Callithrix jacchus: one gene and its partners. The protein of the gene in region 7 binds, or shares a complex with, the protein of the main gene of each other region. Links are inferred from orthologs where the notes say so. Each region holds a gene or a part of one and is shown on either strand. Other genes may lie near its edges. The genes, in order: NUP50, IPO13, XPO1, SIRT2, XPO5, RANGAP1 and RAN.

Evidence for each region.
Region 1: the proteins of RAN (region 7) and NUP50 are in contact, whole or in part, in a crystal structure (PDB 7MO0), measured with the Homo sapiens proteins. The link is inferred for Callithrix jacchus from reciprocal best matches to the Homo sapiens genes RAN and NUP50. Residues at the interface, in NP_006316.1 of Homo sapiens: Arg29, His30, Thr32, Gly33, Glu34, Phe35, Glu36, Phe52, Val124, Asp125, Ile126, Lys127, Ser153, Asn154, Tyr155, Phe157, Glu158, Phe176, Ala178, Pro180, Ala181, Leu182, Ala183, Pro184, Glu186, Val187, Asp190, Pro191, Ala194, Tyr197; in NP_009103.2 of Homo sapiens: Pro344, Pro345, Lys346, Val347, Val352, Lys362, Cys363, Lys364, Phe366, Tyr367, Lys368, Asn371, Glu372, Phe373, Lys374, Glu375, Lys376, Gly377, Ile378, Lys384, Lys390, Gln392, Leu394, Arg396, Thr399, Asn400, Leu401, Asn403, Ile404, Leu405.
Region 2: the proteins of RAN (region 7) and IPO13 are in contact, whole or in part, in a crystal structure (PDB 3ZJY), measured with the Homo sapiens proteins. The link is inferred for Callithrix jacchus from reciprocal best matches to the Homo sapiens genes RAN and IPO13. Residues at the interface, in NP_006316.1 of Homo sapiens: Lys37, Lys38, Tyr39, Leu43, Gly44, Val45, Val47, Pro49, Trp64, Gly74, Leu75, Arg76, Asp77, Gly78, Tyr79, Ile81, Gln82, Asn103, Arg106, Asp107, Arg110, Val111, Tyr147, Trp163, Arg166; in NP_055467.3 of Homo sapiens: Leu33, Tyr34, Tyr35, Ile39, Lys42, Gln46, Leu49, Met50, Gln53, Glu73, Tyr76, Phe77, Ser80, His83, Ile84, Ile118, Thr121, Arg122, Val125, Val172, Glu175, Glu176, Thr179, Ser414, Asp415, Arg784, Asp785, Pro787, Asp788, Pro829.
Region 3: the proteins of RAN (region 7) and XPO1 are in contact, whole or in part, in a crystal structure (PDB 7B51), measured with the Homo sapiens proteins. The link is inferred for Callithrix jacchus from reciprocal best matches to the Homo sapiens genes RAN and XPO1. Residues at the interface, in NP_006316.1 of Homo sapiens: Lys12, Lys37, Lys38, Tyr39, Val40, Ala41, Leu43, Gly44, Val45, Val47, Trp64, Glu70, Lys71, Gly74, Leu75, Arg76, Asp77, Gly78, Tyr79, Ile81, Gln82, Val96, Pro102, Asn103, Arg106, Arg110, Val111, Glu113, Val124, Asp125; in NP_003391.1 of Homo sapiens: Leu35, Tyr36, His37, Gln43, Arg44, Gln47, Leu50, Thr51, Lys54, Glu55, Asn74, Tyr77, Tyr78, Gln81, Lys124, Val125, Lys129, Met132, Leu173, Glu176, Glu177, Phe181, Gln185, Lys266, Thr269, Glu270, Asp313, Gln316, Asn317, Gln320.
Region 4: the proteins of RAN (region 7) and SIRT2 are in contact, whole or in part, in a crystal structure (PDB 5FYQ), measured with the Homo sapiens proteins. The link is inferred for Callithrix jacchus from reciprocal best matches to the Homo sapiens genes RAN and SIRT2. Residues at the interface, in NP_006316.1 of Homo sapiens: Phe35, Glu36, Lys37, Lys38, Tyr39, Val40; in NP_036369.2 of Homo sapiens: Phe96, Arg97, Glu116, Phe119, Gln167, Ile169, His187, Ile232, Val233, Phe234, Phe235, Gly236, Glu237, Ser238, Leu239, Phe244, Gln265, Val266, Gln267, Pro268.
Region 5: RAN (region 7) and XPO5 share a complex: the UniProt entries of both Homo sapiens proteins name them as parts of the nuclear export receptor complex. The link is inferred for Callithrix jacchus from reciprocal best matches to the Homo sapiens genes RAN and XPO5.
Region 6: the proteins of RAN (region 7) and RANGAP1 are in contact, whole or in part, in a cryo-EM structure (PDB 9B62), measured with the Homo sapiens proteins. The link is inferred for Callithrix jacchus from reciprocal best matches to the Homo sapiens genes RAN and RANGAP1. Residues at the interface, in NP_006316.1 of Homo sapiens: Asp18, Gly20, Tyr39, Val40, Ala41, Thr42, Leu43, Gly44, Val45, Glu46, Glu70, Lys71, Leu75, Arg76, Tyr79, Asp91, Thr93, Ser94, Arg95, Val96, Thr97, Asn100, Lys123, Asp128, Arg129, Lys130, Lys132, Lys134; in NP_001265580.1 of Homo sapiens: Ser29, Gly58, Asn59, Thr60, Asp86, Thr89, Gly90, Arg91, Leu92, Arg93, Ile96, Asp121, Ala123, Phe124, Gly125, Asp127, Asn151, Cys152, Gly153, Met154, Gly155, Arg189, Asn190, Arg191, Gln217, Asn244, Asp245, Asn246, Thr247, Asp273.

What each region holds. Positions count from the first base shown.
Region 1 is NC_133502.1:215,221,322-215,224,821, forward strand, and holds part of NUP50 (nuclear pore complex protein Nup50), read left to right. Parts: coding exon 1-627; intron 628-3,041; coding exon 3,042-3,123; intron 3,124-3,500. UniProt on the Homo sapiens protein: Component of the nuclear pore complex that has a direct role in nuclear protein import. Actively displaces NLSs from importin-alpha, and facilitates disassembly of the importin-alpha:beta-cargo complex and importin recycling.
Region 2 is NC_133508.1:80,625,571-80,629,070, forward strand, and holds part of IPO13 (importin-13), read left to right. Parts: coding exon 1-164; intron 165-384; coding exon 385-505; intron 506-591; coding exon 592-739; intron 740-1,312; coding exon 1,313-1,494; intron 1,495-1,577; coding exon 1,578-1,604; intron 1,605-1,799; coding exon 1,800-1,934; intron 1,935-2,082; coding exon 2,083-2,226; intron 2,227-3,500. UniProt on the Homo sapiens protein: Functions in nuclear protein import as nuclear transport receptor. Serves as receptor for nuclear localization signals (NLS) in cargo substrates.
Region 3 is NC_133515.1:52,589,317-52,592,816, reverse strand, and holds part of XPO1 (exportin-1), read right to left. Parts: intron 1,996-3,500; 5' UTR 1,990-1,995; coding exon 1,864-1,989; intron 1-1,863. UniProt on the Homo sapiens protein: Mediates the nuclear export of cellular proteins (cargos) bearing a leucine-rich nuclear export signal (NES) and of RNAs.
Region 4 is NC_133523.1:34,438,075-34,441,574, forward strand, and holds part of SIRT2 (NAD-dependent protein deacetylase sirtuin-2), read right to left. Parts: intron 939-3,500; coding exon 809-938; intron 1-808. UniProt on the Homo sapiens protein: NAD-dependent protein deacetylase, which deacetylates internal lysines on histone and alpha-tubulin as well as many other proteins such as key transcription factors.
Region 5 is NC_133505.1:52,009,298-52,012,797, reverse strand, and holds part of XPO5 (exportin-5), read left to right. Parts: intron 1-1,067; coding exon 1,068-1,165; intron 1,166-1,777; coding exon 1,778-1,824; intron 1,825-2,243; coding exon 2,244-2,341; intron 2,342-3,291; coding exon 3,292-3,354; intron 3,355-3,500. UniProt on the Homo sapiens protein: Mediates the nuclear export of proteins bearing a double-stranded RNA binding domain (dsRBD) and double-stranded RNAs (cargos). XPO5 in the nucleus binds cooperatively to the RNA and to the GTPase Ran in its active GTP-bound form.
Region 6 is NC_133502.1:192,060,824-192,064,323, forward strand, and holds part of RANGAP1 (ran GTPase-activating protein 1), read right to left. Parts: intron 2,872-3,500; coding exon 2,758-2,871; intron 2,358-2,757; coding exon 2,258-2,357; intron 2,172-2,257; coding exon 2,087-2,171; intron 883-2,086; coding exon 699-882; intron 1-698. UniProt on the Homo sapiens protein: GTPase activator for RAN. Converts cytoplasmic GTP-bound RAN to GDP-bound RAN, which is essential for RAN-mediated nuclear import and export. Mediates dissociation of cargo from nuclear export complexes containing XPO1, RAN and RANBP2 after nuclear export.
Region 7 is NC_133510.1:134,087,432-134,091,604, reverse strand, and holds the start of RAN (GTP-binding nuclear protein Ran), read right to left. Parts: upstream 2,801-4,173; 5' UTR 2,770-2,800; intron 2,309-2,769; 5' UTR 2,299-2,308; coding exon 2,263-2,298; intron 2,083-2,262; coding exon 1,998-2,082; intron 1,916-1,997; coding exon 1,790-1,915; intron 337-1,789; coding exon 149-336; intron 1-148. UniProt on the Homo sapiens protein: GTPase involved in nucleocytoplasmic transport, participating both to the import and the export from the nucleus of proteins and RNAs. Switches between a cytoplasmic GDP- and a nuclear GTP-bound state by nucleotide exchange and GTP hydrolysis.

The DNA of each region.
Region 1 (3,500 bases), on a different chromosome or scaffold from region 7:
AGAAAAAAGTTTCAAATCCCAAAACGAATGGGGACAGTCAGCAGCCCTCCTCCTCTGGCCTTGCTTCCAGTAAAGCTTGTGTCGGGAATGCCTATCACAAGCAGTTGGCTGCCTTGAACTGCTCCGTCCGGGATTGGATAGTGAAGCACGTGAATACAAACCCACTCTGTGATCTGACGCCCATCTTTAAAGACTATGAGAAATATCTAGCAAACATTGAACAGCAGCACGGGGACGGTGGCAGCAATTCTGAAAGTGAATCTAACAAAACGGCGGTTGAAACACAGTCTCTTTCCCTTTTTGGCTCAACAAAATTACAGCAAGAGTCAGTGTTTTTGTTTCATGGCAACAAAACTGAAGATACACCTGAAAAGAAGGTGGAGGTTGCAGCTGAAAAGAAAACGGACCCATCACTAGGAGCAACAAGTGCCTCATTTAACTTCGGCAAGAAAGTTGATAGCTCTGTTGTGGGCTCATTAAGCTCTGTCCCCCTGACTGGATTTTCATTTTCCCCAGGAAACTCCAGTTTACTTGGCAAAGATATTACCCAGAGTAAACCAGTCTCTTCACCATTTCCCGCTAAACCATTGGAGGGCCAAGTAGAAGGTGACAGTAGCGAATGCAAAGGTAAGTACCAGGCTTGTCACTGATTTAGATTTGTGTAAGATTTGTGTTTGAGAAAGATAAAGGCCTGGATTTGGAGGTGATCTGCAGTCACAGTGAGACATCGCCCGCTCCATGTGTGATCTCTGAGTTTCAGATTCCTTATTTTTAAAAGAGTAAGACCTATTTTGTAGGGTTGTTTATAAGGATTAAAAATAATTAAAATGAAATTGAAAACATCTGACCTTGAAAAGTGTCAAACACACGTGGCGTAGCATATAAAAAAGAAGTAAAGACGTTTTTTGAAAATTGTGTTTTGGAAAAGTTCAAGTTCATTATGAATGTCCCCTGAATTGATCTGAACTTAGGAGATTTGACTAAGTAAAGTCACGTGGCAAAACAGTACTTGACTACACAGTAAAAACGTAGACTCTACATAGCTATAGAGAACATATCAACAGTGTTGATTTGTTCATAGCTATAGAGACTTTTCATAGCTACAGAGAACAAATCCTCCTGTGGGTTTGGAGGTACCTCCTTTCCAGAAGACAGCCCCACGTAGTATCTAAGTGGCATCTCCTGTAGGTATTGTCAGTGCCCCAGACCAGGCAAAGGTCTGGGCCTTAATCTGGGCCATTCACTCCCTCTGTTTTTAGCTAAAAAGTGGGGTGATACCATAATACCACATCCTCATACGGTGGTTGTGAACAAATGATGTCTGTGAAGATACCTACTTGTAAGCAATTAAAAGTAAGGCCGGGCGAGGTGGCCCACATCTGTAATCTCAGCACTTTGGGAGGCTGAAGAGGAAAGCTCACCCGAGGCCAGGAGTTTGAAACCAGCCTGGGCAACATAGCAAGACCCCATCTCTACACAAATTTTTAAAAATATACCCAGGCAAGGTGGTGGGTGTCTATAGTCACAGCTGCTCTAGAGGCTGAGGTGGGAGCATCTCTTGAGCTTAGGAGTTCAAGGTTGCAGTGAGCCACAATTGCACCACTGCACTCCAGCCTGGGCAACACAGAAAGACCTTGTCTCAACAAAAGGTGTGCTCCTCAGACATATGAACATTGGTCCTTGAGGAAGAAAACTGCATTTGCCAGTTTGCCACTGAAATGTTTTTCTAGCAGGAGGCTAGACTTACGTTAATGTTTTGCCTTGCCATACTTTCAAGTGTATCCTCAGGCACAGGCCCTCAGGATCAAGGGTGAAGTCAGTGTGTCCCCTTTTACTTCTCTGCCTCCCAGAAATAAAGACACATGGGGAGTCTTTTCCCGAGGCAGGTGCTGGGACAGCGACGCTGGATTTGAATCGAGTCCCAGTGGATGCAGGGTGCCCCTCAGTCCCTTGGTTATCACAGTTTATGCATCAGAAGATGGGAGATTGGAGTGATAAAATGGACAGTCCTATCTAATTTAAATGATGTGATCTAGTCATCTGAGCATCACAGTTTTTTTCTTAGAATTGCTTTTTAGTGACTTTTTATGCAGCTGCCATTCTTTTTAAGAGGATCTTTTATATATGTGGTTTTTTAATTGTTTTGAGATGGTCTCACTCTCACCCAGGCTAGAGCGCAGTGGCACAATCACGGTTCACTGCAGCCTTGACCTCCCAGGCTCAAGTGAGCCTCCCATTTCAGTCTGCCAAGGACCTAGGTTCACAGGGATGCACTGCCACATCCGGTTAACTTCTTTACTTTTCATAGAGATGGTGGGGGCGCTTCTCACCGTGTTGACTGGGCTGGTCTTGAACTCATGGGCTCAAGCGATCTTCCCTCCTTGGCCATGCAGAGTGCTGGGATTACAAACATGAGCCACTGATCCTGGCCTATACATGTGTTTAAATAGTGTTTTGTTTAACTGATGTCCCACATCTCCTGTGTATGGGAGACCCCATTAGTGGGGATACCATTGATACCAGAGCACTGACCCACGTGGCAATTCAGACAAAGCTCAAACTACTTATGTTGGGACTTTGGAATGATTTCTCTGACATCTTGCCCCCTGCTTAAAAAATATATATATTTTTCTGTCTTTGGCCATTATTGATACTGGTTGCGGATATATGGTCACAGGAATATTCAGGGGTGAAGGTGTTAAAATCCCATCTGAGATGTCATTTTCGAGTGGGTAATTTGAATACAGAGTGTTATTTTTCTGTAAATGTCATAAGTATGGAGATTTTTCCATTCTAAGGTTTTCCGTGTACTGGGAGTTATTTTAGCATTAAGTATGTTCCCATTAAAAAGGATGCTTATTTTTCATAAAGTAGTTAAAATCCAGCAGACACTCGCCTCTGCCATCCCCTCATTGGGTGTGCATTTTAGTCTGTTGGTACATGGAGTGCTCAGCTGGAGGTTTAGGGTGTTACATAACAAAACTTGTTACTTTAAGCTCTGGGTTGGAATCTGACTGAATTATTGTCATTTTTTATAAAAGGTGGAGATGAAGAAGAGAGTGATGAGCCACCCAAAGTAGTAGTTACTGAAGTAAAAGAAGACGACGCTTTTTACTCCAAAAAGTAAGAATCACCAGAACCTGCTGGTGCGTGTGTTTTAGAGACATGGTAGTGTGCTTCAGGCTGGAGAACGTCCTCACGGCACTTACCTGAGCATTCAGTCTTGGGGTCAAGCTTTGCCTGCTCTCAAGTGAAATAGGAAAGAATTCTTGGCCAGCTTATTTTTAAAAAGCCAGTTCTAGAAATGTCCTGGTGGGCAAGTCTCACTCTTTTCTGTCGCTTTAGGTCTTTTAAAGTGCTAGAGACAGGCTTTTCCATGATCCTCCCAACTCCATGCTGTCCCATGTTCTCTTCCTTTTTCTCCCTCCCGCTCCTACTCCCCTAACAAAGGAATCTCAGGTCACTGATTGCAGGTTTGGCTTCACTCACTTTACTCTGGA
Region 2 (3,500 bases), on a different chromosome or scaffold from region 7:
GATATTCTGTCCTTTGAGGCAGAGAAGCAGGCTGTATACCAGCAGGTGTACCGGCCAGTCTACTTCCAGCTGGTGGATGTGCTTCTGCACAAGGCCCAGTTCCCTTCTGATGAGGAATATGGATTTTGGTCCTCAGACGAGAAGGAGCAGTTCCGAATTTACAGGTGATGGTAGCAGGCCAACTCCTCTAAAATGGAGTCCATAAAGAATGAAGGCAATGAGGGAAGGGGCCCAAGGCCAGGCTTTCTGAATTTGGGGACTTCTCTCTCTGTTCTCTAGGCATTGTTGCAGGGTTGTGGGGGTACTGGGGTAGGCTCCTGGGCTTGGGGGCAGGATTCAGGGGCAGGATCCAGGCAGTATAAAAGGCCTTCATCTGCTTCTCAGGGTGGACATCTCAGACACGCTCATGTATGTCTATGAGATGTTGGGAGCCGAGCTGCTCAGCAACCTCTATGACAAGCTGGGTCGTTTGCTTACCAGCTCAGAGGAGCCCTACTCCTGGCAGGTACCTCCCAAGCCTGATTCCCTCAGCCCTCCCAGACCTGTCACACCCTCCTCCTCATCCAAGCCAGTGGCACCCTCTTTCCCCAGCACACGGAGGCCCTCCTCTATGGCTTCCAATCCATCGCAGAGACCATCGACGTCAACTATTCTGATGTGGTGCCTGGGCTCATTGGCCTCATCCCGCGGATCAGCATCAGCAACGTGCAGCTGGCAGATACTGTCATGTTCACCATTGGTGAGACCTGGCACATGCCCATGACCATATTCCCAGAGCCACAGCACCTGTCCCTGGCCACAGCCAGCATGCTGGATCCTATCCAGAATGGGAGAGCCACATGCCTACACACAGTGTTGTAACAAACTGACTGTCCTGGCAGGTCTAGGGGGTCCATCTGATGGCACAGTGAGCTGCAATTCAGTGAGACTAGTTTACTGTCAGGGGAGACTAAACAAGAGTAGGAGACAGAAGAGTAAACACAGGTTCAGGAGCCCTGATAAAAAAAAGACTTTGGAAGGCAGCAACACCTCATGAGAGCATCCATCCCCACCATCTACTCCACCCTGACAATTTACTGTCAGTTAAACAGCAGTACTGGACCTCTGTTGAGTAACCCTTTCCTGCTTCTCTGCTGTAGGCTCTTGTTTAAGCATGCACATGCATATTTGCCCATGTAGTCCTCTGAATGGAGCAGTGCTCTGTGCTAGGGCTGCAACTTGACCCTGCCAGGAACTCTGCTCGCCTCAGAGGCATGGTACAAAGCCAGCCTGGCCTGCCTCAGAGATCCTCCTGTCTTCCTCTTTCCTCCAGGAGCTCTGTCTGAATGGCTGGCTGACCACCCCGTCATGATCAACAGTGTTCTGCCCCTGGTACTGCATGCCCTAGGTAATCCTGAGCTCTCTGTCTCTTCTGTGTCTACCCTCAAGAAGATCTGCCGAGAGTGCAAGTATGACCTGCCTCCCTATGCTGCCAACATTGTGGCTGTGTCCCAGGTATGCAGGGGCCCTGGATGGTGCTGAGCCTCAGTGCACACTCTGCGCTGTGCTGATACTACATTCCTTCTTTCTACCCCCAGGATGTGCTGATGAAACAGATCCACAAGGTGCGGCTCAAAAGTTTCTAGGGGTCTCCTTGGGGGTCTTGTGGGAATCTCTTATCCCTGAAATCCTGTTTTTTGACTTCCCCTTCCTCTTACCCCTTATTCTCTGTTTTTGGAAGCTCCACCCAAGAGGCTTATTTTCCTTCCTACCCCACAACTATATGTAGCCAGGACTGATCATCTATGTTCTGCCCACAGACAAGCCAGTGCATGTGGCTGATGCAAGCGCTGGGCTTCCTGCTGTCAGCTCTTCAAGTGGAGGAGATCCTTAAGAACCTGCACTCACTCATCTCACCCTATATCCAGCAACTGGAGAAGCTGGCAGAGGAGATAGTGAGTGAGCTCTAGGGGCCAGGGAGTAGTACTGGGATGCTGTGGCTGATGAGGGGTGAGGTTGGAGCTAGCCCTCAGAGTTGGGGCTCAGTGATCTGGACCAAACTGGGGCTAGGAGATCTGGAGCTTGGTTTGCTTCTCCCTGCAGCCCAATCCCTCCAACAAGCTGGCTATTGTCCACATCTTGGGGCTTCTCTCCAACCTCTTCACCACGCTGGACATCAGTCATCATGACGATGATCACGAAGGCCCTGAGCTTCGGAAGCTTCCAGTGCCGCAGGGACCCAACCCCGTGGGTGACATTGTCTTTGCCATCCCCCCAACCCCCACCTGTGGGAATGTCTTTGTCACTCTTCAATTCTGTGGGTAATGTTGTCATTGTTCTCCTTTTCCCATGGGGGTGATGTGTTTGGTCCTCTGATTCCATGAATGACCTATAATTACCTCTCACTCTGTAGGTAGCAATGTCATTATCTCACTCAACTCTGTGTGTGATGTTGTCCTTGTCCCCAGCCCAATTAGGGTGACGTCATTGAAATTCCTCAGCCCCATAAGAGACATTGACATTTTATCCTTCAACCCTTAAGTGATGTTCAACCCCCTGCCCCGCCCCGCCCTGCTCTGGAGGGCCTTCTACTTCAACATTTACTGTCCCCTGTGGGCACTAAGGATGCTTATTACATCCTCCGCATGTAATAGTTCTGGCCTTCAAGTTGCTCCCAGTGTAGAGGAAGTTCAAGTTGCTCAGATTGTCACAAAGCAGTGTGATAAGTCCTGTGAGAAGCCTGGACACAGGTTTTGGGGTGACCACTTTACAAGCTGCTGAATCTGGAGCAAGCCTCAGCTTCTCATTAAAAACTATGAACATTGAAATGTCTGGCTTACTTAATTCATAGAACTGTGCTGGATAGTAGATGTGGTCTTACATGTAGGTAGTTTGCATATTGTAAAGGTCTTTATAAATAGAAGGGACTGCTTTGGTCATTGTTCACAGAACTCCCTCCAGGATTTCTCCTGGAGAAAAGGAAGCCATAGGCATCCTGGCCTCTCTGCTTAACTCTGCAACCGAGTTTCAGTTAGCCTCTTGGCTTTAGATCACACCTGGGCCACTGTCGTCGGACGGAGCCCATTCTTGATATGGTAGACATCATCCTGCCTTTCCTTGCCTCCCAGGACCTCAGTCTGCTCTCTGCTCCTCCATAAGCTGCCTGCATCTGTGCATTCTTTGGGGCTCCCTACCTCAAGCCTATTTAAGAGGAGATTGTATCTCCACTTCTTCAGGCGCTAGCCCATAGCCTTGGTTTTACAGAGCAGAGATATAAAGGGAGAGATTTTTTTTTTTAAGTCTACAAAGATTTCATAATCTTACGAAGCACCTGTGATATCTCTGCTTTGCAGTTTGAGGCTTCCTTTGAGATAATCCCTAGAATTCAGGATATCCTCCTTTTTCATTCATGAGAGAGTTCAGCAAACCACTTCTTCCCCCAGGGGTCCCATGCACTGGGTCCTCAATATGCATTCTGGGGTAATAGGTTTGAATTCCCCTCCTCCCTGCTACCAAGTCCT
Region 3 (3,500 bases), on a different chromosome or scaffold from region 7:
TATGTTGGTTTATTTATTAGATCCTTTAGATGTTGTGAACTACCTTAGTGCCAAGATTAAACAGTATTGGCAGCTGAATATATATGGAAAAAATTAAGTGCCCTTTTTCCCAATGGCTACAGACCCGTGTTTCCAATAATATATTCAAAGTTGAACCCAACCTTAATTTCACAGTTTCCTCCAAAAGCAGCTGCTTTCTATGCATCCATGCTAGAAGAAATGAAGCTTAAAACTTCATGTTGAGGCCTATAATCCCAGTACTATGGGAGGCTGAGGCGGGTGGATCATGAGTTCAAGAGATCAAGACCATCCTGGGTCAACAAGGTGAAACCCCGTCTCTACTAAAAATACAAAAAAACTAGTTGCGCATGGTGGTGCGCACCTGTAGTCCCAGCTACTCAGGAGGCTGAGGCAGGAGAATTGCTTGAACCCAGAAGGTGGAGGTTGCGGTGAGCTGAGATCGTGCCATTGCTCTCCAGTCTGGGTAACAACAGCGAAACTCCATCTCAAAAAAAAAAAAAAAACAAAACTTCATGTTGAATGCATAGCCTGAGGAACAACTAAATGACAGGGATAATAAATACTGATGGACAATTTTTCAAGAATGCTTTTGGAGATAACATACTGATTAAAAGCCCCTGGGAGGCCGGGCACAGTGGTTCACGCCTGTAATCCCAGCACTTTGGGAGGTGGAGGCATGTGGATCCCGAGGCCAGGAGATGGAGACCATCCTGGCCAACAAGATGAAATCCGGTCTCTACTAAAATACAAAAAATGAGCAGAGCAGGGCATAGTGGTGCACGCCTGTAGTACCAGCTACTCAGGAGGCTGAGGTAAGGGATTGCTTGAACCTGGGAGGCAAAGGTTGCAGTGAGCCAAGATCAGGCTACTGCACTCCAGCCTGGCAACAAAGCAAGACTCCATCTCAAAAAAAAAAAGAAAAAAAATTTCTGACCCAACTGAAGAACTTTTTACTCATTCAAAAAACTGTTTGGGCCAGGCGCAGTGGTCCATGTCTGTAATCCCAGCACTTTGGGAGGATGAGGTGGGTGATCACCTAAGGTCAGCAATTCAAGACCAGCCTGGCCAACATGGTAAAACTCTGTCTCTACTAAAAACACAAAAATTAGCCAGGCATGGTGGCGTGCACCTGTAATCCCAGCTATTAGGGAGGCTGCGGCAAGAGAATCGCTTGAATGCAAAGGTTTTAGGGAGCCAAGACAGCACCACTGCACTCCTGCCTGGGCCACAGGGCAAGACTCTGTCTCAAAAAAGTTTGGTCCTATGGGTAAAAAAAAAAAAGTCAAGGTTTTTTTCTTGTAACACAATTTAAAATTTTATATACATTTCTGTTTCACCTTTTAATTGGGTTCAAAAAGGCCAAAAACCTTAAACTGATCAAAACACGGTTTATGTTTAAGATAATTCTTCTCTACATTAACAGTTACTTAGAAAGTGCACAAATTTCAACTAACATAAAAATACTTGGTATTCCTGGTTTTTTTAAACAAACATATCTGTGAAATACTTCTGTAAATGTTTCCAAAGCAAAAGAATCATGTAGCTCCAAACATATTAAGTATATATAAAAATACAGAGAACCTTTAATACCTACAAAGTATTTATTAATAACATTCAGCTCTTAAGGACAAAACAAGCATAATATTTCAAAACAACCCACTCTAACAATGTCAAACATTATGCTATTTCTTTCTCCAAACCAATTATCATTATGGTTAATATATAATTCCAAATTAATGTAAACTATGGAATATCTTTTTTAAAAATTATAAAATTTTATTCTAAACCCAACAACTCTGTTACACTGTCATTACGTTATAAAGATTTGGTTGGCTACTTTACCTGGGCTCCTTCTCCATGGTATAAGCAATTCACCACATTATCTAATAAGTTGATATCCAGTTTTTGGCTGAAATCGAGCAGCTGGCGAGCTGCATGGTCTGCTAACATTGTCATAATTGCTGGCATAGATTACTGAAAATAAAGGAAAAAAAATTGAAGCTGCCTATAAAGTTTTGGTATTATCAAAAACTTTCTACAAGTTATTTTACTTCAATCATGTTATTCCAAATATTTTAATGAATACTTTAGAGACTTATTATTATTACAAAAAAACTGCGATAGTAAAATCAAGTAACAAAAGTTGAAATTACTTAACTACTTGATAATTACATAAGTTATTATGATCCATTCAACTTTTTCAGAGTTTATACACCAGATTTTCCTATCCTACTAACATGTATAAAGTATGATAACCTATTATTTAAATTCATCCACTATTAGGACTGTATGGCCCTAAAAAGTGATACAGTTCAGTATCTTGATGTCAAAACTTTTTCAGCAAGTATGATTATTAAGTTCCAGTGAATGAGATTTTCTTTTCTTCCCAAGTAGGGGCTTCTGGATAACTCAGTAAAAGCTCACTTCACATTACAGTAACTTTAAAGATATGCTATAAAGACAGAATGGGCTGGGCACGGTGCTCACGTCTATAATCCCAGCACTTTGGGAGGCCGAGGCAGGCTGCTCACCTGAGGTCAAGAGTTCAAGGCCAGCCTGGCTAACATGGCAAAACCCCATCTCTACTAAAAATACAAAAATTAGCCAGGCATGGAGGCAGGCGCCTGTAATCCCTGCCTCAATTCCGCCACTGCACTCCAGTGGTAGTATTAGACTCCATCTCAAAAACCAACAAAGAAAAAAGACAGATGTTAAAAATTAAATTAGGATATACAGTAATTCCTATTGTATACAGCAATGGTTAGCAAAAACACAAGTCTTACATATCTTGGTAAAAATTCCCTTAACCTTTACAGAAATAACTTAGTTTCTACACTCAAAACATTCAAATTGTTTCAACCCTCAATGAATTGGGGGATTGTAATTACATTTACAAACATATTTACTGAACATACGATCTGGGGAAAAAAAAAAACTTTATAGCAATATGCCAAGCAAGATTTTTTAAATTCCAGGTATTCCTCAGCAAGGTAAAACCTCTAAAAGCTTGCCCATTTCCAGATAAAAAAGAATTCTAACAGAAAAATGAGCTACTTCGCCCAAATAAGTACTGGTTAAAACCTGCTAGTTCATATGCAGTGTTATCCATTTAAGAGGATTCTACTCTAAGATGCTGGCACACATCCACTTTTTTGTTACCCAGAATTATTAAAAGTATTTTTCCTCTGCTTTTCTTTGAAGCCAATGCCACTCAAACCTGACTGGTTAAGCCAGTAGCCCTTAACCTTTTTGGGGGTCGAAGATGCCTGAGACTCTGAGGAACCAACAGTTCTAACCCAGTTTTTAAAAACTCGCTATTTTGTATACAACTACAGAGGATTCGGGACATCCTGAAAGCCATCCATGGCACCCCCGGTTTAGTGTATTTCGAACTAACAAGGTCAGATCTCCACTTCTTCCCATTTTAGGAACTTCCGTGGACCAGAAAATGAGTGGCCAATTTCTTTACATTATACTTG
Region 4 (3,500 bases), on a different chromosome or scaffold from region 7:
CAGAACAGCCGCACTCCAGAGGCCCTTCTGCAAATGCTGCAGCTGTCCTTATCCAACAGGGACACCAGTGGCTTTGTTAAATCAGCATAAAGAATGTCAGAAATGGCTTTCCATGAGTGGAATAAGCGGCTTCTTGTTTGTTTGTTTTTTGAGATGGAATTTTATTCTTGTTGCCCAAGCTGGAGTGCAGTGGCACAATCTCAGCTCACTGCAATCTCCATCTCCCAGGTTCAAGCGATTCTCCTGCCTCAGCCTCCCAGGTAGCTGGGATTACAGGCGCGTGCCACCATGCCTTGCTAATTTTTAGTGCGTTTTTAGTAGAAACGGGTTTTACCATGTTAGCCAGGCTGGTCTCGAACTCCTGATTTCAGGTGATCCACCCGCCTCAGGGCCTCCCAAAGTGCTGGGATTCCAGGTGTTAGCCACTGAGCCTCGCCAGAGTAAGTGGCTTTTGAATGAGCACAATGGGTGTCAGAAATCATCTCTCTCTGGCAATTAAGAAATGTGGATTGGCTGATTTTTTAAAAATATATATATTCAGTCCTTACATGAACAGGGATTCTGACTCTAGCAGGCCCTGCAGTCTTTAGGGATGGCCCCAGCCTTCACCCTCACCAGGCCTGGGTCCACCTTCTCATGCTATAGGTCCTGCCACACTGTCCAATATGGTAGTCAAAGCCACACACAGTGTTTACAATTCAGTCAACATTAAGCAGGACTCGAAGAATGGGTGCCCACTGCATGGAGACCCTGCCCCTGCTCCTGCTGCTGGGGGGAGGCCCGCCCTCAGGATGCCCTCCGGCCTCACCTTTCATCCAGCTTAGCGTGTATTCGCGCCGGCAGCTGGGGCTGACACAGTGCGACGTGTAGAAGGTGCCGTGGGCCTCCACCAGGTCCTCTTGCTCTAACCCCGCTATTCGCTCCAGGGTGTCTATGTTCTGGAGGGAGAGATGGAGGGAAGAGGGGTCAGGAGTGAGCCACTACTTATAGGCCAGAAGGCACAATGGGCAGTTGAGGCCACAAGAAGCAGTGGGATGGCGGGGACAGAGGGAGGAGAGAAGGAGGAGAAGCAAGTGGCAGGTCGAAGGTCGCACCTGAAGACTCTTCTGTTCATCCCAATGGTGCTACTCAAAGAGTGACAGTCATGGCTGCTTAAAGGTAGGGGCCAGGCTGGGCTCACGCCTGTAATCCCAGTACTTTGGGAGACCGAGTGGGAGGATCACTTGAGCCCAGGAGTTCAAGACCAGTCTGAGCAACAGAGCAAGATCCCATCTCTACAAAAAATAAAAAATGCAAAAAAAAAAAAAAAAAGAGTGGGGGCCCAAACCTAACTGTCTGTGAGGCCAGGCCCATGACCACTCAGCCCATGTGGCTATTTTTTTCTGCAAATTCGGGCCATTTGCTCCCATTTTTCAGAAAAAAAGTTGTTTTGTTAGAGCCAGAGGCTTTGTTGCCACCTGTCAGAAATTATTGAAATTAACATAAAATTTACAATGTCTCTGTTGTAAATGGAGCCCCCACAGATGTGGCATCCTTGTGCAGGATGCACCCTGCACAGCCACATGTGGCAGCTCTGGGCAAGCATTAACATAAATGAATCGGGAGGGCTTACTTGGTCTTGTTTTTTTTTTTTTTTTGAGACTGAGTCTCACTCTGTCGCCCAGGCTGGAGTGCAGTGGTGCAATCTCAGCTCACTGAAACCTCCAACTCCCAGATTCAAGCGATTTTCCTGCCTCAGCCTCCCAAGTAGCTGGGATTGCAGGCACACGCCACCATGACTGGCTAATTTTTGTATTTTTAGTAGAGACGGGGTTTTACCATGTTTGCTAGGCTGGTCTCGAACTCCTGATCTCATGATCCACCTGCCTCAGCCTCCTAAATTTCTGGTGAGCCATCACACCTGGCCACGTTTTTCTTTGAGACAAGGTCTCACTCTGTCACCCAGGGTGTAGTGCAGTGGTATGATTCACTGCAGCCTCCAACTCCTGGGCTCAAGTGATCCTCCTGCCACAGCCTCCACATCTGGCTGATTTTTATAATTTTCTGTAAAGATAGGGTTTCACTATGTTGCCCAGGCTGGTCTAGAACTCCTGGGCTCAAGCAAACCTCCTGCCTCAGCCTCCCAAACTGCTGGGATTACGGTGCCTGGAATTACAGCTACTGTGCCTGGCCCTTCTGTGGCTTTCATCCCTGTCTTCCTCTTCAGCAGTCAGGGTTCTTTCTTAATATGGCCTGTTTAGTAGATGGCATAGTCACCTATGTTCTTTTTTTCTGGAGGCAGGGTTTTGCTCTGTCACTCAGATAGAATGTAGTGGTTTGATCACAGCTTACTGCAGCCTTCACCCCCTGGGCTCAGGCCATCCTCCCACCTCAGCCCACTGAGTAGCTGGAACTACAGGCAAATGGCACCATGCCTGGCTAATTTTTTAATCTTTTTAATTTTTTTGTAGAGATGGGCAGCAGGGTGGTCTCCCTATGTTGCCCAGGCTGGTCTTGAACTCCTGGGCTCAAACGATCCTCCCACCTCAGCCTCCCAAAGTGCTGGGATTACAAGTGCAAGCCACCATGCCCAGCCACTGTTTCCTTTTTCTTTTTCTTTTTTTGAGATGGAGTTTCACTCTAGTTGCCCAGGCTGGAGTGCAATGCTGTGATCTCGGCTCACTGCAACTTCTGCCTCCTAGGTTCAAGTGATTCTCCTGCCTCAGCCTCCCGAGTGGCTGGGAACACAGGCAGGCACCACCATGCCCAGCTAAGTTTTGTATTTTCAATAGAGACGGGCTTTCACCATGTTGGCCAGGATGGTCTCAATCTCCTGACCTGGTGATCCGCCTGCCTTGGCCTCCCAAAGTGCTGGGATTACAGGCATGAGCCACTGTGCCTGGCTGCTGTTTTAAGACAGTGATACTTTCCAAATTCTTTTTCTTTTCTTTTTATTTTTTCTTAAGAGACAGGGTCTTGCTATGTTACCCAGGCTGGAGTGCAGTGGCTATTCACAGGTGGGATCCCACTACTGATCAGCACGTGAGTTTTGACCTGCTCCGTTTCCGACCTGGGCTGGTTCACACCTCCTTAGGTAACCTGATGGTCCCCCGCTCCCGGGAGGTCACCATATTGATGCCGAACTTAGTGCAGACACCTGATGGGCATAGTGCACTACAGCCCAGACCTCCTGGGCTCAAGTGATCCTCCCACCTCAGCCTCCTGAGTAGCTGGGACTACAGACACACACGCCACTGTGCCCGGCAATACTTTCCATATTAAACAGGTGAGAATGTTCTTTCCTACACAGACATTTGTACACCCTAATTTTTCTTAAAACACCCAGCTGCTTTGAAGCAGCTTTCATTCGGCTTAGAGGAACATTGCTAAGGGAGGTGCTGACAGAGGACACCTTTACGCAGAGATGTATAGTCAAGCGCCGCCCGGGGCCAATCTGACAAGTTTCCCAGAGACTCCATGAACAATGGGAAGGGTCTGTTTCCCTTCAAGGGCAGAATGAA
Region 5 (3,500 bases), on a different chromosome or scaffold from region 7:
TCAAGCGCTTCTTGTGCCTCAGCCTCCCAAGTAGCTGGGATTACAGGCGCATGCCACTACACCCAGCTAACTTTTTTGTGTTCTTAGAAGAGCAGTTTTCACCATGTTGGCCAGGCTGAGCACATGAGGTCGAACTCCTGACCTCAAGTGATCTGCCCACCTCGGCCTCCCAAAGTACTGGGGTTATAGGTGTGAGCCACCACGGCCAACCTAATATTTGTATTTTTAGTAGAGACAGGATTTTGCCATGTTAGCCAGGCTGGTCTCAATCACCTGACCTCAAGCAATTTGCCTGCTTCAGCCTCCGAAAGTATTGGGATTACAGGCATGAACCACCATGCTCAGCCATGAAAGATAAAACTTTTACCCCTTTTCTGTGTTTTTAGAAAACACTTGCTTTTTGTTTGTTTGTTTGTTTTCTGAGACAGGGTCTCACTGTTACCCAGGCTGGATTGCAGTAGTGCTATTAAAGCTCACCTGTAGGCTCAAGTGACCTCAGCTTCCTGAATAGCTTGGACTGGACCACAGATGCACACCACCACACCTGGCTATTTATTATTATTTGTAGAGATGGGATCTGCATTATGTTCCCAAGACTGGTCTCAAACTCCTGGGCTCAAGGAGTTCTCCTGCCTCAGCCTCTGATGTGCTAGAGTTACAGGCCTGAGTCACCACAACCAGCCAGAAGAAGCAATTTCGTACTTCTTATTCAGACCCTTATTTAGTTGAGACTCTGTCTTTTTTACCTGAAATTATAAGGAGAATAATGAAGGAGAGTTTGTTACAAGGATATCCTCCTTCCTATTTTTTTCTTCCAACTTTCAGGCAACCCAGTGACCATAATGTGCAGCCTGATGAAAGTACAGCTAAACTAATATAATGAAATTGAGGATTTCATACTGTTTAGGATTTTAGAAAAGGAACTTGAAGATTTTTCACTATTTGCATAGGATATTTTTGACATCTGGCAAACCCTTTAGGGATTGATTCTGCCCAGGGGTATAGCCAGCACCTGGCAGGTGAGGGCATGGGCTTATACACTAAAATTCCTTAATTTGCTGCAGCACGGGTCTTTGTAAAGCCTCTGGTGCTCTTCTGTCCCCCCGAGCACTATGAAGCCCTGGTATCCCCTATCCTCGGACCTCTTTTCACCTACCTCCATATGGTAAGAGATAAGTCAGGAACAGGAAACAAAGAAGGTCTGTGGCCATTTTTGAGCCTTGTAAGTCAGGAGCTCCTAGAAGGGTTGTCCCCTAGCCCTGCCAGACTGGCTGGGCAGAGCTTCTACCCTAGCATACTATCCTTGCTGTAGGATTGAGCAAGCCCCAAAGAAGTAAACTGATTTAATTGCCACAAGGCAGCTTCAGATGCAGATTCTGTTCCTAACCTGTTAACTGAGGAGAGGTAAAAAGAGGAATGCTTGTTCACAGACCCTTGCCAGGGATGCTGGGTCTGTTACCCTGACTCTGGAATTAAGCAGGGGGACCAGCTGGGTGGAGAACAGGTATGTCTAGAGACCCAAGGATTCTAAAAATGTTATTTTAATTCTTTCCAAGCAAAGAGGTGTTTGATATACCACCCTTATCTTGGACATGGGAGAGGTTACAGAAACCATAGATGGCTTTTTTAACTTTGTGGTGTGGAGTCTACAGAGGCTGTCACTGATGCCTAGACTCATCCTTGGCTAATTTTAATCATGAAGTGGACTTGACTTTAGATATTATGTGTTCCAATCCTCTCCCCAATTCTAGCATTTATTTCCTTTGTGTTTTCCCAGAGGCTTTCTCAGAAATGGCAAGTTATCAACCAGAGGAGCCTGCTGTGGTAAGGGATACCCACCCCTTCTTGGTGAATGAGCTGGCAGCCAGGTTTGGGATTAGGAAAGAAAGGGGGCAGGGATTCTGCTGTCTCAGAGCTAGAAGAGCAGTAGCTTATAGTCATTCTCAGCTTAGGTGATAGATGGCTTATCTGGACAGCCTGTGACCAGCAGGCAGACTCTGAGATCCAGCCTTCATAGGGGCTACTGTTACCTTACTTATTTTGATTCTGTAATGTCTATTCAACTGCACAGAGTCACTAGTAATAGTGTCCTCAGTGGATCACTGCTGTCCATTCCCAACTTGTGCATAGAATGTTAACCCAAAGGAGAAGAAATTGGTCACAGAGAGTCCGGCTAGGGCCCTGCTTTACTTGTCCTTCCCTTTCTGCACTCCTATGGAACTTAGCCCCCTGGTTTTCTGCAGTGGAGAAGATGAGGCTGCAGATGAAAACCCAGAGTCTCAAGAGATGCTGGAGGAACAACTGGTGAGGATGTTAACTCGAGAAGTCATGGACCTAATCAGTAAGTGGCATGTGGAAATCAGGGCTATGGAGAATTTTTCTGGAAGAAGAGCTGGTCGCTAAGCCAACCCCATGAAGCCCTGACTGATGCAAAGATTCATGTTTGCAACAACACTGTCAGACCCTAAAGAATAACTGGATAGAAGCAAGGCAGTCCTTGGTCAACCCAAGGACACTTTATGAATTGCAAGCTGAATTGTACCAAGGCCAGAATATGGGTAAACAATCTAAAATAGCAGAAGGAATTTGGATTCATTAGGAATAACTTCCTAGTTTTGTCAAAATAGAGGAACTTTAAATTCTTGGACATGGAGGCTGTTAATTTGCTTTTTATTTTTACTGTGTCATTTTGTTTGTTTAAGATTCAAAGTAGACCAGGCCGGGTGCGGTGGCTCACGCCTATAATCCCAGCACTTTGGGAGGCCAAGGCGGGTGGATCACAAGGTCAAGAGATCGAGACCATCCTGGTCAACAAGTGAAACCCCATCTCTACTAAAAATACAAAAATTAGCTGGGCATGGTGGTGTGCGCCTGTAGTCCCAGCTACTCGGGAGGCTGAGGCAGGAGAATGGCTTGAACCCAGGAGGCGGAGGTTGTGGTGAGCCGAGATCATGCCATTGCACTCCAGTCTGGGTAACAACAGCGAAACTCCGTCTCAAAAAAAAAAAAAGATTCAAAGTAGACCAAGGATGTATCAAGCATCCTTTCCTAATCACTCTCAGAGAATTCTGTAATTTTCTCCCAGCTAATTGAACTTGAAGGACCAAAACAGTCTGGTCATCAGAATGCCTCTATTCCTATTGGTGAAGCTGATTTTTATGCCTTACACAGTATCCCCATCATCTTCCCTCCTCACCTGGCCAGAGACAGGTTGGGATCAGTGGGCCTGAAGTGGCTGTTGTGGTAGTATATACCCTCCCTTGACCTAGTAACCTTGCTTTCTTGCCTTAGCGGTTTGCTGTGTTTCAAAGAAGGGTGCTGACCACAGTAGTGCTCCCCCAGCAGATGGAGATGGTAAGTGAGCCTGAGACCTTGGAGGTCTACTCTTAGCCTCCTGATATTGTTCCTTCTGAATCAGGTCAGTTTCTTCGCAGTCTGGTGAGGAGGAGACATCCTACATCTAGTTGTTATCTCTGGACTAGCCCTCTTGCTCTGTGCCT
Region 6 (3,500 bases), on a different chromosome or scaffold from region 7:
ACAGCTGTGCCCATCCCCACACCCAGCACATCCACCCCTCACTCTAGCCCATCTAGGCGCGAAGTCTAGAATTCTTCCTCCCTTCCCACCTATCAACATCACCCAGAGATGCTGGCCCTGGCTGGCTCTTGGTCCAGGAGCCTTTGGGGTCAGGGGGAAGCCACCTACCTAGGACTCAAAAAATCTGCTACAGCCAAGTAGATTCTCGTCATAATATGCAGTACCCGAGAAATGACTAAAGAGATACATGGGGTCTAAAGTAGGTCCCTGTAGAACTACAGTCCACACTGGGTAAGCCCTGCTAAGGTAGCCAGAGAAAAACCTGAACTGGGGCGTACCTATTAGCCAGGTGTGGTGGTGGACACCTATAATCCCAGCTACTTAGGAGGCCAAGGCAGGAGCATCGCTTGAACCCAGGAGGCAGAGGTTGTAAATGTGAGCCGAGATCACACCACTGCACTCCAGCCTCAGTGACAAGAGAGACTCTGCCCCCCCACCCCCCGAAAAAAAAGAAAAAGAAAGAAATATAGGTAACTATCATTACACTGGGACCATTTTCAAGTCAGTATAATGTAATCAAAAAAAAAATGTTTGTGGCTACTATGCTTAGGGAGACACCCCTACCCCACTGTGAAGACGCCTCAGGCTTTCACCTTCTCAGGACCAGGGCTCTGATCATGGCAACGACAGAAACTCACCCCAGTGTTAGGGTCCAGACTCTTCCGTGAGGGCGTGGCTGACTTCTCTCCCTGCACTTGATGCTGAGGCTCTTCCTCTTCCTCCTCCTCTTCTTCTTCCTCCTCTTCCTCATCTTCCTCCTCCTCCTCTTCTGCTTCTTCTTCTTCCTCTTCTCCTTCCTCCTCATCCTCATCCTCGTCATCACTGCAGACAGAGCTGGCTGAAGCATATCCTCTCTACCCAGCAGCCCAGGTTGGCTCCAAGGCCTGGCTCCATCAGCCCAGAGACCTCACCTCAGCCAGGTGGGAGGGAGCCTAGGTGGGGTGGGAGCACCTGCTCCCAGGACAGGGGCAGGTGGATCACCAGGGAAATCCATGCTATGGACACAAAAGAATCAGACCTTGTCCCTGTCCTCAAGGAGCCCCAGGGGAGACAAAAAACAAAGACATTTGTTTTTATTTGTCATACCCAGAGCCCAGGGCTTGGCAGGAACATTCCCCAGGTTGAGATGCCAGGGCAGGGGTACCTACATCCACATGACCTCAGGAAGTTACAGGTATGAGGGAGGAAGAAGAGTAGGGGTGTCCTTGCCCCACAGGAAGGCTAGTCCATTTCCCAGGGACCATTGGACCTGTGAGGTTCAGCCCACCTCCAAGTCCCCAGTTCCCAGCCTCAGCTCAGGGCCTAGCACGGAGGAGACACAACTGAGTATCTGACCCACAAACAAGGCTGACTTGGGGATGAGAGGGGCACAGGGAGCCAGGTGCTGATGGCCCAACTGGACTTGGATCCAGAGGCAGTGGCAGCTCCCCCACCGCACCTTCGCCTCCAGGTGGACTCCCCAGGCCTTAGAATCTCTTCCTTTCTAGAGTCAGTATCTTAAGAACAATCCTGAACGCAGCCCCTTCTGGCAGCCCCCACCTCCCACTCCCATCACTGCCCAGGCCCCACCACATCAGGATGAGATCTGGCCTCAACCCTTCAGAGGCCTCCCGATTCCCCTCGCTCTAGAGGGTGGCTCTACTCAGCCCGTATGAGCTCCTCTTTTGAATGCACAACTCATTCTATCTCTTCTCCATGAGCCAGAAACCCTGACTGTCCCACCCTTATAGACCTGATGCCTAGTGTATAACCCGGCACATAATAGGAGTGCAACCAACCTTTCTGAATAAATACAAGTAGAAACAAATAAAGGGGCATGGTGGTGGTTGCCTATAATCCCAGCTACTTGGGAGGCTGAGGCAGGAGAATCGCTTGAACCTGGGAGATGGAGGTTGCAGTGAGTAGAAATCGTGCCACTGCACTCCAGCCTGGGCAACAGGGCAAGACTCTATCTCAAGGAAAAAAAAAAAGAAACAAAGGAATGGCCTAACCCTGACCTCTGGGGCCACCCACCCTAGTTCCCTACCTGAGGGACGCCAGCACTTTGGCCATATTGAAGCCGTCCAGGACCTCCTGGAGCTGCTCACAGCCTTCTTCTCCCAGGGTGTTGCCTGCTCAAGGGGAGGGAAGAGCAGTCAGCCCGGGGTGCCAGGGCCAGCCTGCCAGACCTGTGCAGAGGACTCCCCCATCCGACTACCGTTCAGGTCCAGCTTCTCCAACTCAGCTTTGTCTGCCATGGCCTCAGCAACAGCCAGGGCAGCGTCCCTCTTGATTTCACAGAATGACAAGTTCAGCTCCTGAAAATAAGAGGAAGGGTTGGAGGGAGGCAGAAACCTGGGCCAGGACACCATGTCCCACTCTAAGCCTCAGTTTCCCCAAGTGAGGATATGGCATATTCTGTCCTCCAGTGCTGTTTCCCAAGGCATAGTGGGCAGGAAGAATAACCCTGCAGCCAACGATGTGCCACACAGTGTGTGTTTACTCAACTATACCACAGTGATGCACACCACCCCCTGCCCACTTTATAAATGAAAAACCATGGCTCTGAGGGGTGTGGAGCTCACACAGCATCACAGGGCATGAAGTGGAGGAGCTGGGATATGGACGCAGGCCCACTTAGCTTCAGACCAGACCCCTGCACCCCCAGTCACCCACCACCCACAGACCCCAGGAGGACGTCAGGGTCTAGGTTGGCACCTTTAGCTTGGGCAGGCCACCACGGATGGCATCTGCAATGGCAACGGCACCCTTGGAGCGCACTAGGCAGTCCCCAAAATTGATCACCTCTACCTGCCGCAAGGTCTTCAAGGTCTGCGAGGGGGAAGTAAGGGTACAGAGAATGAGGGTGCAGGCCACACTCCAGCCCTCAGAAAGCACCATGGTGGCCCCACACAGTCACTTCCCACACCAGCCACCACACACTGTCCTCCTCCCCAAGTCGCCAGCTTTGCCGTCTTCTCCTTGTTGGCCTCTGGGTCCCCCCTTGACCTCACTCCCCATGTTACGGCCACAACTCTTCCTGAGACCAGTCCTGCCCAAGTCTCCAGGCCTTCCACACATAAGCTAATCCCTCTGCCTGAAACATCCACCTCCCACCTTCTGTCCGGAGAAAGACCACTTGTACTGTACCTTAGCCAAAATGTGATCTCTTCCAGGAAGCCTGACCTAAGTCTGATTTGAACTTCCTTCTGACGTGTTCCCAACACCTGCACACATCTCTGCTAACACATAAGCAGCCAGACTAGCCTTCTGTGGGGCCACAGGGTCCTGGCAGCCAAGTATCCACTGCGTTCAGGACCCAGCATTGTCCCCGCCAGCACCTCCCTCCCCTCCTTGAGCTAGGATCTCCTTGAAGGAGGGTCTTTGGCTCAACCCTGTGTGGCTTGCACTTGCTTGGTACAAAGCCAAGCACTAAATGGGGGCTCAAAAAACAGCTGCTG
Region 7 (4,173 bases):
AAACCCCATCTCTATCAGTCTTTAAAAACAATAAAAATAGCATAAAAATAAAATTATTTCCATATATAATATAGACTGGTCAATTTCATGGTCTTACGTATCATCTCCTCTAAGAGAAATAACTCAGGAAGTTTTAATTTTCACACACCTGAAGATTCTTCTTTCGGTGGAAGACAATGGATTTTGCCTTCACTTTCCTGTCCTTAATGTCCACTTTGTTGCCACATAACACGATGGGGATGTTCTCACACACTCGCACCAGATCTCTATGCCAGTTAGGCACGTTCTTGTAAGTAACTCTGGATGTTACATCGAACATTATGATGGCACACTGGGCTGAAAGGAACATTTGTGGTAGTTAGTACACTTAGTTTACTACACACATGAAGAATGCCAAGAACCAGTCTAGGATTCATCTGGTCTTAGACCTCACCGAGTCTCCTAGCTTTCTCCCTTCACTTCCAATTCTAAAAATGTCAATTCGCAATTTCTAAAAATGTTAATTCACAATTCTTCCTAAGCAAGATGAGCTGACCCCGTCAAACCTCCCTGATACACTTCATCATTAACAGTACCCTCATCCCAAAAAGTATCTCGGGTAGATTAATGATAAGTGAGATTCTGCAGAACCGAGCTGCCATATTCTGAGGGTAAGGGGCCTGCAAACACCTTCTTCAGAAGGTCTTTCAATGGCATGGCTGACTATACCAGGAAATATTCCTGTCTTAAATCCAGACAGGCCAAGCGATGTGGCTCATGCCTGTAATCCCAGCACTTTGAGAGGCCGAGGTGGGTGATCACCTGAGCTCATGAGTTCGAGATCAGCATGGGCAACATGATGAATCCCCATCTCTACAAAAAATAAAAATAAAAATAAATAAAATACAAAAATTGGTCAGGTATAGTGGCCTGTGCCTGTAGTCCCAACTACTCAGGAGGCTGAAGTGGGAGGACAGCTTGGCTCAGGAGGCAGAAGCTGCAGTGAACTGAGATCACACCACTGCACTCTGGGCTGGGCCACATAGAGACCCTGTTTCAAAAAATAATAACAAACCCAAATAAAGTCTATATATTCACCTGCAGGGCCAGCTATGGCATAGTTGATAAAGCAAGAATCCACAACTTTTTGGTTAAAAGATTTTTGGGGGGAAATTCTTGTGTTTATTTGTACATACTAAAGGAAAACAAAAGGCATGGAATGATTCCAAATAATTTGTTATCAGCAAAGTGAGGATCCAGGAGAGATGAGTATTTCCTTTACTCCTCTTTTTGGTATAATGAACGTCTTCCTTGCAATTTTAAAAATCAATCTATTTGAGAAAAATACTCTCCGCAACTTAGTACAAACAATGTAACAAGAAATCACCTAGTCTTGCATAACACTTGCTAAGATCCCTATCTTCCCTGGTGTTTTTTAATGGAGTACAAACAATCATTGATCACTACGTCTAAATTCATACCTGAGCCTGTTTTCATATACTGAACTGCTCTAACAGCCTGTCTGTGATTGTTTTAAACTATGACATGTACCCAGTGTAAGTCACAGTTTCTTCTAAACCATGCCTAGCATGACACAGCATGCAAATAACACAACTTGCATAAAATGTTCTCCTCTGCCACCAAAATGGTGGTCAGCTCCCCGAAGCTCACGTTTTTTAACCCAAAAATGACACAGTTCCCCTAACAGTATTAAGCACTGTTTGCCGGAACCGGCCTGATTTTCTATAACCTTGAAGGATGCAGTACACAAAAGCTCTCAGCAACGGTTCAGCAAGTCACGGATGCTTACCTTGGATATAGTAGCCATCTCTCAGTCCGCCGAATTTCTCCTGGCCGGCCGTGTCCCACACATTGAACTTAATAGGTCCTCTGTTAGTGTGGAACACCAGGGGATGAACCTCAACACCCAAGGTGGCTGCGACGGAAGCGATGCCAGTGAGTGGGCGCATTGACCCGTTTCCCACCCGTGTCCGCGAACAAGGTGCTCCCGCACATACCTACATACTTCTTCTCAAATTCACCAGTCAGATGACGTTTCACGAAGGTCGTTTTTCCGGTACCACCGTCACCAACCAATACAAGCTGTTGGAGAACACATTTTGGAAGTAAACCCAGAACACTTCACCTCTCCGGATCCCAGAGTCCGCCACGCCAAGAACGCGGACGCGGGGCCCGGCTAACAGCCATCGTGGGCCCGGGAGGAGGGACCGCGAGGCGCACGCGGGCCGGCCCGGCCGCCGCCCGCCCCGCAGGGTTACCTACTTTAAACTGGACCTGGGGCTCTCCCTGCGCAGCCATCGCGGCGTTCCTGCGGAGGCAGAGGACGGAGACGAGCGCTCGCGCGGCCCCGCAGCCCATGGCGGCCCCGCTCCCGCGCCCCCCGCGCCCCACGTGCCCGCCCCACAAAGGCCTCCCGCCCGCGGCGCCATGGCGGCCGGGCCTGGGAGCGGGAAGGCGGCGGGCGGGGCCGGCATCCGGGGCAGCGGGACCCAAGGAACGACGGACGGGGGGGCCGGGATGGAGACGAGACTGGGACCGGGAGCGGGATGGGAGCGCGGGATGGAACCGGGATTCGCGGGGGCGGGCGCCGACCCCACGCCCGTTTCTTCCCCCGGCCCGGCCCGGCCCGCGCCACCCACCTACTCACAGCCGCTCGCTGCCCCGGGGCCGGCCACCAGCCCGGGCCCTGACCCCGGCCGCGGCCCCTGTCCCGCCGCCACGGCCCCTGTCCCCCCCACCCCGGCCCTGCCCGGCCAGCCGCGTCGTTACCTTCCAGAAGCGTCTCCGCGCCCGTCCGACTGAGGCTGGAAAGATGGCGGAAGCGCAATTCAAACGCCTGAGACGCAGCCGACGCCGGCGCGCGGCAGGGGCGGGGCAGGCGCGGGGCGGGGCTGACAAGGGGCGGAGCAACGGTCCGGTGCCCGCCCACGTGGACCGCGCGTGCGCGCACGCACGCAACCCGGCTCGGTGGAGCGCAGGGTGGGGCGGTAGGCGCGGTGGACCGCGTGGGAGGACGAGGCGGGAGCGCGCACGCACGCCGACCCGCGGGCCCCATGTGCGCCAACACTCAGGGCGGGCTCCCGGGCACGCATGCGCCACTGGTGAGGCGGCGCGCTCCTGGCCGGGAGATGCTGGGCGCGGCGGGACAGGCGCGGCCCTGCGGCCTCCCCGGCGGGAGGCGGGATTCGCTCGGGCAGACGCGGTCAGGCACGCGGCTTCCAGGCGCTGGCCAGCCTGTCGTTGTCTGCGCCCCGTGGAGTGAGGGTACTTGGGGTCTTTGGGGCATAGGCCGGCGCAGGACCGGTAGGTGACAGAACGAATGAATGAATGAATGGGTCCTAGGCCGGTCCCCCAGGGTCAGCCCGCGCCTTTGTCTCCCCAGAGCTTAGCCTTCACGCCCCCAGGCCCAGGGACAGTTGGAGAGCGAGGCATCAGAGAGGGATGCGCCCACCCAGAAACACGGGTGCTTATTTCTTTTGAGACGGAGTCCCGCTGTATGGCCCAGGCTGGTCTGGAACTGCCAGGCTCACGCAGTCTTCCCGTCTCGGCCTCCGAGTAGCTGGGACTACAAGCGCGCGCTACATCCGGGCTGATTTTGTTTGTCTTAATTGAGACACAGGATCTCACTGTGTCTCCCAGTCTGGCCTCAAGGGATCCGCCCTCTTCGGCGTCCCAAGGCGCTGGGATTGCAGATGCAGTCACCGCGCCCGGCCATAGCACCCCTTCTCGGAGCGTTTCATAGGTCGGCAGCCATGGCGGCCGCATCCTACAAACAAAACGATGAAATTTCGTTTGCGGTGTGGGCGGGTCTTCCAGCCGTAGTTACCCTCGGGGGCGGAATGAGGAAGTGCCCAAGCTCCCGGCCCCCTGTGGAGCTGAAGCTGTGAAGAGCCTAGGCCAGGTTGAGCTAGAGGGACCCCGACCCACGGGTCCTTCCTGGGCGCCCCTGCTGACATGCAGACAGATAAAGGCCCAAATCAGCGCAGTCAAGCACCTCAGAAAAGAGTTCCCCGTGGGGAAAGAGCCCCAGGGACCCAGGGGTCCGCCCAGCAGTCACGAGCACACTTGCAGGCGAGTCCGCTGGGAACCCCAGTGACGCAAAGTGCGCACAAGGCGCGCGAGAACCGGCCAGCTGGAAACGCAAGTCCAGGGACCCTCGGGAACGCCAGCCAC